Sus scrofa: one gene and its partner. The protein of the gene in region 2 interacts with the protein of the main gene of each other region in a pairwise test. Links are inferred from orthologs where the notes say so. Each region holds a gene or a part of one and is shown on either strand. Other genes may lie near its edges. The genes, in order: UNC119 and ARL15.

The links.
Region 1: the proteins of ARL15 (region 2) and UNC119 interact in binary tests that used the Homo sapiens proteins (3 or more experiments, as listed by UniProt). The link is inferred for Sus scrofa from reciprocal best matches to the Homo sapiens genes ARL15 and UNC119.

The regions. Positions count from the first base shown.
Region 1 is NC_010454.4:44,804,375-44,808,734, forward strand, and holds the start of UNC119 (protein unc-119 homolog A), read right to left. Parts: upstream 2,961-4,360; 5' UTR 2,868-2,960; coding exon 2,648-2,867; intron 1-2,647. UniProt on the Homo sapiens protein: Involved in synaptic functions in photoreceptor cells, the signal transduction in immune cells as a Src family kinase activator, endosome recycling, the uptake of bacteria and endocytosis, protein trafficking in sensory neurons and as lipid-binding chaperone with specificity for a diverse subset of myristoylated proteins.
Region 2 is NC_010458.4:33,572,502-33,577,102, reverse strand, and holds the start of ARL15 (ADP-ribosylation factor-like protein 15), read left to right. Parts: upstream 1-1,554; 5' UTR 1,555-1,569; coding exon 1,570-1,752; intron 1,753-4,601.

The DNA of each region.
Region 1 (4,360 bases), on a different chromosome or scaffold from region 2:
GGCCACCTCCCATTCCTCTGGGGCAGGAAGAGGAAGTGAATGTAAAATTATTCTCTCTTCCCCAAGCCTGCGACAGCCCCCTCCAGGAAGCCCTCCAGGTAGCCACCTGGCACGATGGGGTCCAGCAAAGACTAGAAGGCTTATGGAGGGGCCTGAGCAACAGCTTGTCCACCACAGCCCATGGTGGGGAGAGGATAGGGGGCAGAATGGAAGTAGGCAGCTCCTACCTACCTCACCCTGTACACACTTTATTTTCACAGAAAGTAAGCATTAATCCAGAGCTGCAGAAGGAAGCTGTAGGGCATAGGAAGAGGATATGACAAAAGTGGGAACGGCATCCTAGTGGCCCAAGTCCCAGCTCCCCATGAAGCCCTCCTTCGTCCCCCGTTTTCTAACTTCTGGGACCTCTCCTCTCATTTGAGAACGCCTTGCAGTCTGGCCTCAGTCTCTCCTGCTGCAAACTCAACCTTTCAACCCCTCTGTCCTTAGAGGAAGTGAGAAACAAGGATGCCCATGGTTCAGGACACCACATCCACTCCCTCCCTCTACCAGAGAAGGATAAGGCCAGGGACCCGGGGTCAGCCCAGATAAGGGGCAGCGTAGCCAAGGGTTCAGAACACAACTGCTCCCTTCCTCTCGGCCACAAATAGCTTCCTAAGCTGGATTCAGCGCTGGGTAATCCGGGCAGAGCAAACCTCAGACCTGTGTGATTAGGGTCAGAAGAGGCCGTGGGGGGAGAGTCCTGGAGCCCTGTTCTCAACTTCTGCAAAGGAAAGGGCTCCTGTGAAACCCTCTCCTCTACTCATCCCCCACAGGTGTCACATCTCAAAGAGCTATGAATTTCTTCCCGATTCCGAGACAAATGTACATGGGCTGGAAGCCCCCATAGCTGCAAAATAACCTCTAAAGTTACCTAGGACCTGGACAAGTTAGACCCTCAGTAAAGAACTTCTGCCCCAGGAGTTCCCATTGTGGCATATTGGAGATGAATCTGACTAATATCCATGAGGATGCGGGCTCGATCCCTGGCCTCGCTCCGTGGGTTAAGGATCCAGCATGGCCATGAGCTGTGGTGCGTAGGTCGAAGACACGGCTCGGATCCTGCATTGCTGTGGCTCCAGCTCCGATTCGACCCCTAGCCTGGGAACTTCCATATGCTGTGGATGTGGCCATGAAAAGCAAAAAAAAAAAAAAAAAAAAAAAAAAGAAGTTCTGCCCCAGACTAACCTGAACCCTAAATGCTGCTGTTGCCAATGACAGTCCAACTGGCACCAACATCAGACTAGTCCAGGTACCTTCCCTCTACCAGCGCCGGCTCAGGCAAGGCAGCTCAGCGGCTCTGGGGGCCCAGCCAAGAATGGCTGCCTGGCTTAGCGAGGAGGAAGAGGCTGGTCCCCCAGGGACCCAGATGCACAAGCCTAGACCTGCTGTCAGGTCCCCTTCACAGCTCTGACTGGAAGCCCCGGGCTCTGCCGTTCCTGCAGCTCCAGAGCTAAGGTCCACTCCAGCATTTGCCCCCCACCCCCACCGAGAGGCCCCAAGAGCTACTGTCACAGAGGGAGCCAGGGTAGGGTTACTGATCAATGAGGTCGAGGTAGAAAGCCACTGCCTCTCCAAATGCTGTGTTCTTTGACGCTCAACCACTGCCTCTGCCATGAGACTTCCTGGTCCTTGTTGCCTGCCTCTGGTGACCCCCTCCCCTGCCCTGAATGCCCAGTTGTCTGCCTCTCAGCAGCAGCTATGAGCAGTCCTGTGGGGCCCTCAGTACTATTGATAAAAGAGCCCTATTTACAGGGCATGCACAACGCCAGGCACGGTGCAAAATCAGAGGATTTATTTTCACAATAGCTCTGTAAGGTAGGAGTTATTATCCCCATTTTACAGGTGAATATGTGCAGAGAGGTGAAGTTATGAGCCCAAGATCATACAGCCAATTACACGACAAAGCTGGAAGTTCAGCTTAGGCAGGTCGAGCTCAGAAACTCAGCCACAGTGGAGACTTGGCCTCCCAGAAGAGGTCAGGCCCTAGTCCAGGCTGCGTGGGGTGGCGCGGGGGGGGGGGGGGGCATTCATTAACCCACTCCCTTGAGAGAGCCCAGAGCCAACCCACTGAAGTTTCCTCTTCAGGTTCTTTCCGGGGTAGGAGGATGGCTTCAGACTTCCTGGGGTGTCCAGGGTGAGGGCATTAACGATCAGGGAGACAGGAGGGTTTTGATACCACCCAAGTAACTCTGCCTCCACCAAGCCTCCAGGGTGGAGACTGAGGACAGACTGCCCTTAGCCCCCCTCCTCGTTATTGCAGAGAAAATCTTCACAGGGTTCTGAGGACTGTGGGGAAGGGGTCACAGTAGCAGCTGCTGCCCACCTCCACCCTTGGAAAAGGGGGATAGACTCTTCAAAAAGGAAAGAGTCGGGTGGAAAGAAATCTCTACAGAAAGAAGGGGGCACAGAGAGATATCAAAGGAAGGAGGTACATGGAGATCTCAGGCCCAGAGGCAGAAGGATAGGGGACACCGGCCAGGGAGACCCGGGTGGGGGAGGGGAGGCAGGGGAGGGAGGGAAAGGGGGCGGGGGCCCGGGCTCCGCGCGCCTCGAGGGCCCTCTCTAGCTCCCGCCTGCCGGCGGCGTTCCCTCGCTTGGTGCTCACCGCCCGTGATCCGCTGCAGCCCCAGCACGTCCTCCGGCCCGATCGGCTGCTTCCTCTGCAGCGGCCCCGGCCTGGGCCCCGAGCCTGCCTCCGGCTCCGACTCGGACCCGGACCCGGATTCCGCCTGCGGCTCCAGCTTGGGCTCCACGCTTGGGCCCGAGGCCCCTGAAGCGGGCTCCGCCGCCGTCCCGGCCCCGCCGCCGCCCTTCTTCACCTTCATGGCCTCGCGGGGCCGCGGCTCGCCTGCTGCCGCCGCGGCTGCCTGCGCCGGCTGGAGCAAAGGGGGAGCGTCCGCAGCCCCGCCCCCGCCGGGGCCCCAGGTACCGCCCCGCCCCCGGGGTGGGCCCAGAACTGGCCCCGCCCACCGCCCGCCCACCTGAGCTACTCACGCGGGCAGGGTTGAGGCTCGCTCCCAGGTTCTCTCATTTTTGTTCCCACTTTTATCTGTAGGAATTTTAAGGCTACCTTCTCCTTACTCGCTGTACTCCAGCCGCTCCGCCCTTCTCTCCGCCCCTCAAAAGAGTTCCCGCCTCAGGGTCTTTGCCTGGGATGCTCTTCCCCCAGAAGGCCTCCTCTTGTCCTTCTAGTCTCAGCTCAAATACCTCTGCTCAGAGGCCCTCTCAGACTCACAATCTCAAGTACCAATACCAACCCCCAGTCACTATCTGATCAGCCTATTTTTTCTTTCTAAAGCATTATCTGAAATTAGTTTCGTTTGTTCACTCTTTCCCCCTTAAAGACCAATTACTTAAAAGCAGAGGTCCTATCCGTTCTCTAAAATACCACTCAGCACCTTGCATAATGCCCACTGCAGCCTGTGCTCAATACAGCTGGCCCTTGAACGACATGAGTTTGAAGTGTGTAGGGCCACTTATATGTGCACTTTTTTCCAATAAAAAATACTACACAATGGAAGGTTGGGTGAAACTGCAGATGCGAAACTGCTAATACCCAGGGCCAATGATAAATTATACTCTGATTCTGAATGCACCGGAAGGTGGGTGTCCCAACCCCTGCATTCTTAAAGGGTCAATTTTATTTTATTTTTGAATTTATGAATTAGTTAGTATCTGAGGGCTTACACCAGTAAAAGCTATTCTCTCCCAAACCCCCTGCTAGACAAGCCAGGACACACTGAGGGACAATAGCCTACAAGATTCTAGCCACCACAGGGCCCTCCAAGATAGGGAGGCAGGAAGGGCACATAGCCAGTAGAAGCAAAGTGGACCAGTGAGCCCAGGAGGACAGGCATCAGGAAATCATTACTTAAAACACAAATGAATGAAAGTTACACTCATACTTCATATAATTCCAATTCACATTCAACCAACGTTTATTGAGAGCCTAGAATATGCCAGACACTTTCACATGCTCATCCATTTAATACTCACAACCACCTTGTAAGGGAGGTATCAGTGCTATTTTTAAATGAAAAACTGAGGCTCAGGGAGGATTAAGTGGCCTACTCAAAGCTCCCCAGATGATAAGGGCAGAAGCAAGGGTTTGAATTCAGATGTGTTTGATCCCAAGTCCGGAATTTTCCCCACCGCACCATACTGCCTCTAGGTAAAGATAAAGGCAACCTCTGCCACACACAGCAATAGGCTGCACCCAACAGGTGTAGCCAGCCTGGAGCAAGGGGAGTAAGGGAGAAGGCCCCAGAGGTGACAGGAGCCCAGCCCTTTCCATGGGAGCAGTGCTAGGGCTCTCCCT
Region 2 (4,601 bases):
ATCAAATGGGGTAAATAAGTTACAGAGAAGTTACGTAACACGCCTGAGGTCACAGAACTGGAAAGAGGTAAAGCTAAGATTCAAACCCGGGCAGCTGGCTATAGCACGTATACTGTTAACAACTATACACAAAACAGCATGATAAATACCAGCATATAAATATGCATAAGTGCTTCAGCCACAGAGAGGAGGGCACTATCTTCAAATTAAGGGTAGTTAAGAAGTGTTTCGACATAATACCCTCTGTGATTTTGAATGTTATCATGTTGAATTGATACATCAACTTGAGAATTACACCTCTAAAACAGTCTTTCCATCCATGAACATCACATGTATTCAAGTTTTAGATTTCTCTCACAATCCTATGGTCGTAAGGATTATGTTTAGGTGCCTTTAGAATTTCTACTTTAAAGGTTATTTTAAAATACATCTCCTGGAGAAAAAGGAACCCTATTGCACTGTTGGTGGGATTGTAAATTGGTGCAACCACTGTGGAAAACAGTGTGGAGATTCCTCAGAAAACTAAACGTAGAACTACCATTTGATCCAGCAATCCCACTCCTGGGCATCTATGCAGAGAAAACCATGACTCGAAAAGACACACATACTCCAGTGTTCATTGCAGCACTCTTTTCAATAGCCAAGACATGGGAACAACCTAAATGTCCATCGACAGAGGAGTGGATCAAGAAGATGTGGCACATATACACAATGGAATATTACTCAGCCATTAAAAGGAACGAGATACTGGCATTTTTTAGCAACATGGATGGACCTAGAAATTATCATGCTAAGTGAGGTGAGCCATACCATGAGACACCAACATCAAATGTTTTCACTGACATGTGAAATCTGAAAAAAGGACAGACTGAACTTCTTTATAGAACAGATGCTGACTCACAGATTTTGAAAAACTTATGGTCTCCAGAGGAGACAGTTTGGGGGGTTTAGGGATGTGGTTGGGTTGTGGGATGGAAATCCTGTGAAACTGGATTGTGATGATCATTGTTAAAAAAATTAAAGATAAAAAAATGAAAAATAAATAAATAAATAAATAAAAGTGTTCTTTCCAAAAATAAAAAAATTAAAAAAATAAAATACATCTCCTAACTTTGTTGCTAAGTAACTAGAAACCCAATTTTATATTGATTTTTAAGGAGTAACACGATTTTTTCATTTTAATAACTGATATGTAGATTTGTGTTTTACACACACGACCACAATCTGCAGATGAGCTGTTTGCTTCTTTCCATTTTTATTGTTTATATTTTTGTCTGATAATGCTGTCCAGGGCCTTTGCTATAACAGCACAGAAGCAGTGATAATTGGCACCCTTATCTTTTTCCTGACTTTAAAGCAAAGGCTTTTAAATGTTGTATCATTGAATACACTTGTGTAAGGTTTTTGTAACTATCCCTCACAATCTGAATATATTGCCAACCTGGAATGTTGTTAAGGGCTGAATTGCCTACTCCCACCCCCAAATACACAGGTTCAAGTGCTAACCCCCGTACCTCAGATAGTGATTGGGTAGGCAGATAGGGCTGTTGAGGAGGTAATTAAGTAAAAATGAGGAGGTCATGGTGGACCCTAAGCCAATTTGACTGGAGCCTTTATAAGGGGAGGAGCTTTAGGCCGCAAAGAGCAGCCCACGTTAGGGGGGTACGCATCGGTGGAGGTGAGGACTCGGAGAAGGCGTGTGTCTGCCGGCTGGGGAGAGAGGCCTCAGAAGAGACCAACTCTGGAATAGCTGTAAGATTGGAACTTTTTGTTCTGGATTGTTTATTAGAACTTGATTGTACACTGTGGCGTGGCGCTTCTGTAGGAAGGTTTTAAAATTGCTATTTCTTTAATGGTAATGTGTCTTTTTCACTTAAAGTTGTGCACATTTGTGGTGTTTTGGGTCTGAAAATTGGGTTATAGAAGCTTTGCTAGAATTACTTGATAATTTCTTCCCACCAGCATTACTGTTTTTCTTTCTTTGTTTTGAAACATCTAAGTGGGTTTTATGTCTCCAGGTTGATATGCTAATTTCCTTTACCCAACTGCTTTTCATTTACCTTTTTGGTGATTTCCTTAGCTTTCTTCTACTCCTACTGAATTTACTCTTTGCTTTTAGGTTCTACCTGGTATCTGTGAGGTCAAACCCTTTCCAGTTTAATCTCAGAAGGAAACTTTCATGCTGGTCTTTGTTCAGGGCACTGGTGGGATGGTGACCTGGCTTTGCAGAGTGGGGCAGATCAATGGGCTCAAGTGAGTCTTTAAGACTCACAGCTGGAGTTCTCTTGTGGCACAGTGGATTAAGGATATGGTGGTGTTACTGCTGTGGCTTGAGACGCTGCTGCAGTGTGGGTTCAAAATGCCACAAGAGTGGCCAAAAATAAAAATTAAAAACAACAACAGCAAAAAATAAGACTCACGCCAGTTTGGTATTTTCAGCCTCAGGTGCTTCTTTTCCCTGAGCTGCTGGGAGCCCTGTAGCGGGAATCGGCTTGCTTCTCTCTGGCTTTCTCCACTCAAGAATTGAGGAGTCAACCTTTTCTCTGTTCTGTCTTGTTAACTGCCACCTCTGTAGCCACTATCTTACAAAATGGTTCATCTCTCATAAGCTCATGTCTCTAATTCTATCTTTGTGGATCTCATTCTTTTACTGCCAAATGGAGGTGAGGGAGTTGTCTTAATACTTCTACAGCAGTCAAAGGGGTGAAGAGTTACTCTGTAAATAGGGAAGGAAATTCTTTATCTTATTAATATGTGGTACTGGGAACTTTATTTCATCTGACTTTTGCTGTGAGATTTCAGGATGTTGATTGTGGGGTCAGGTGGATTTGTTAACTTTTCTCTTCACTCTCAGAGCTGCCCATCTCAGAAGGTACTAAGTATGTTCAAGCAGTGACACAATGACACAACAGGGTTGGTTGTAGTAAATGGCAAAGTCCACATGCTTAGCAACCCACCAGTCTTGAATGGTGTAAGGGCTATATGTAAGGTACCAAGCTAGGCTACCGAAAGAAGTTCACATACCACAAGCAGCTGACAAGGAGAAGCAAAATTCAAGAAAGGACTCATGCAGTTGCCTGGCGTGTAATGAGCTGATAGTTTGCAGCTGTCAGCTCTTTCAGGCTCTGCTTCAACCTTGGGGTTGGTACTTTTCTTGGGATTCTTCCTTCTTGAAGTTGCCCCCTCAACCAATGACGAAACAAGTTGCTGGTACAAAGGTCTAGCTGTTTCTGCCCAGCTTGGTCGTCTCTATTGGGCAATTTTTGCTTGGGAGTTCCCAGTAGAGGCTTTGTTAGGTGTGTATAATGTTCTGTGGTTACTTGCTACCCCCATCTTAATCCCACAGCTATTTTCTTTCACAGGTGCTGTATGTTAATAAACCTTCTGTATTTCTAATTCTTTGTCAGTGTTTGCTTCCCTGAAGGCCCAACTTGTACCAACATGAAACACAGTATCTATAAAGTCTTTGAGGAAGAGAAGATGTTCAGAAAAATAAAACAATAAAAACAATTTAAACAGTAAAAAAGTGTCTATCATTTACAAGAATGATCTGAATTGTCAACTTTGAGACTGTAAAAGATATGATTTGGCTTTTGGGGTCATAGGTGTTATGAAGGCAGGCATGTCAGTTTGTTTACAGAAGGTTTTTAAGTTGTAATTTTTAAAAGAAATGACTAGGTCTTCTTGGGTTATGGGAAGGAAATCCTGTAAAATTGGATTATTATCATTATATAATTACAAATGTGATAAAGTCATTTGAGTAATAAAAAATGACTAGGTCTTTTTAACATTATTAAAGTTCCTAGGGAATTAATATATTACATTTCATTATCTTGAACTATGTTTTAATATGTTCTTGATTAGGGTATACTAAGGACATATTACAATCTGTTTCTTGAAAACAGACTTCTAATCCAATGGCAATTGGTTTTTAAGGTTTGGTTAATTTCCAGTCAGAATTGATCTTTTAATATGAGTTTAAGTGGCTGATCTCAGTCTTGAAAGCATCTTTATTTTTCAAAAAGCATTTTTTCACATGTTGAAATAACTATCAAGAAATAAGGTGGTTGTGTGTGTGTGTGGTTTTCTGTTTGTTTGTTTTCAGGGCTGCACCTGTAGCATATGGAGGTTCCCAGGCTAGGGGTCCAGTCGGAGCTACGGCCACCGGCCTACACCACAGCAACACAGGATCTGAGCCGTGTCTTCGACCTACACCACAGCTCAAGGCAATGTCAGATCCTTAACCCACTGAGGAGGCCAGGGATCGAACCTGCAGCAACCTCATAGTTCGTAGTTGGATTTGTTTCTGCTGTGCCACAACGGGAACTCCACAATGAGCATATGTTATAGTTGATGATAAATAGCTGATTTTTCTGGTTTACCGTCCTTATTTCCTTATAATATGGCTATCAAGTAGGGCTTAGGATCTTCGTTATTCAAAGACTTTCAAAGAAGGTAGCATGCTATTCTTTCATGCAAGATAAAGTAGTGCAGATGTTTCATTTCACAGAAGATTCAAAACTACCCTAAACATTGTACAATTATAATCAGATTTTATCCTTCAATATTCTTAGACTAGAAAAACTAGTGGGGTTCAAAAG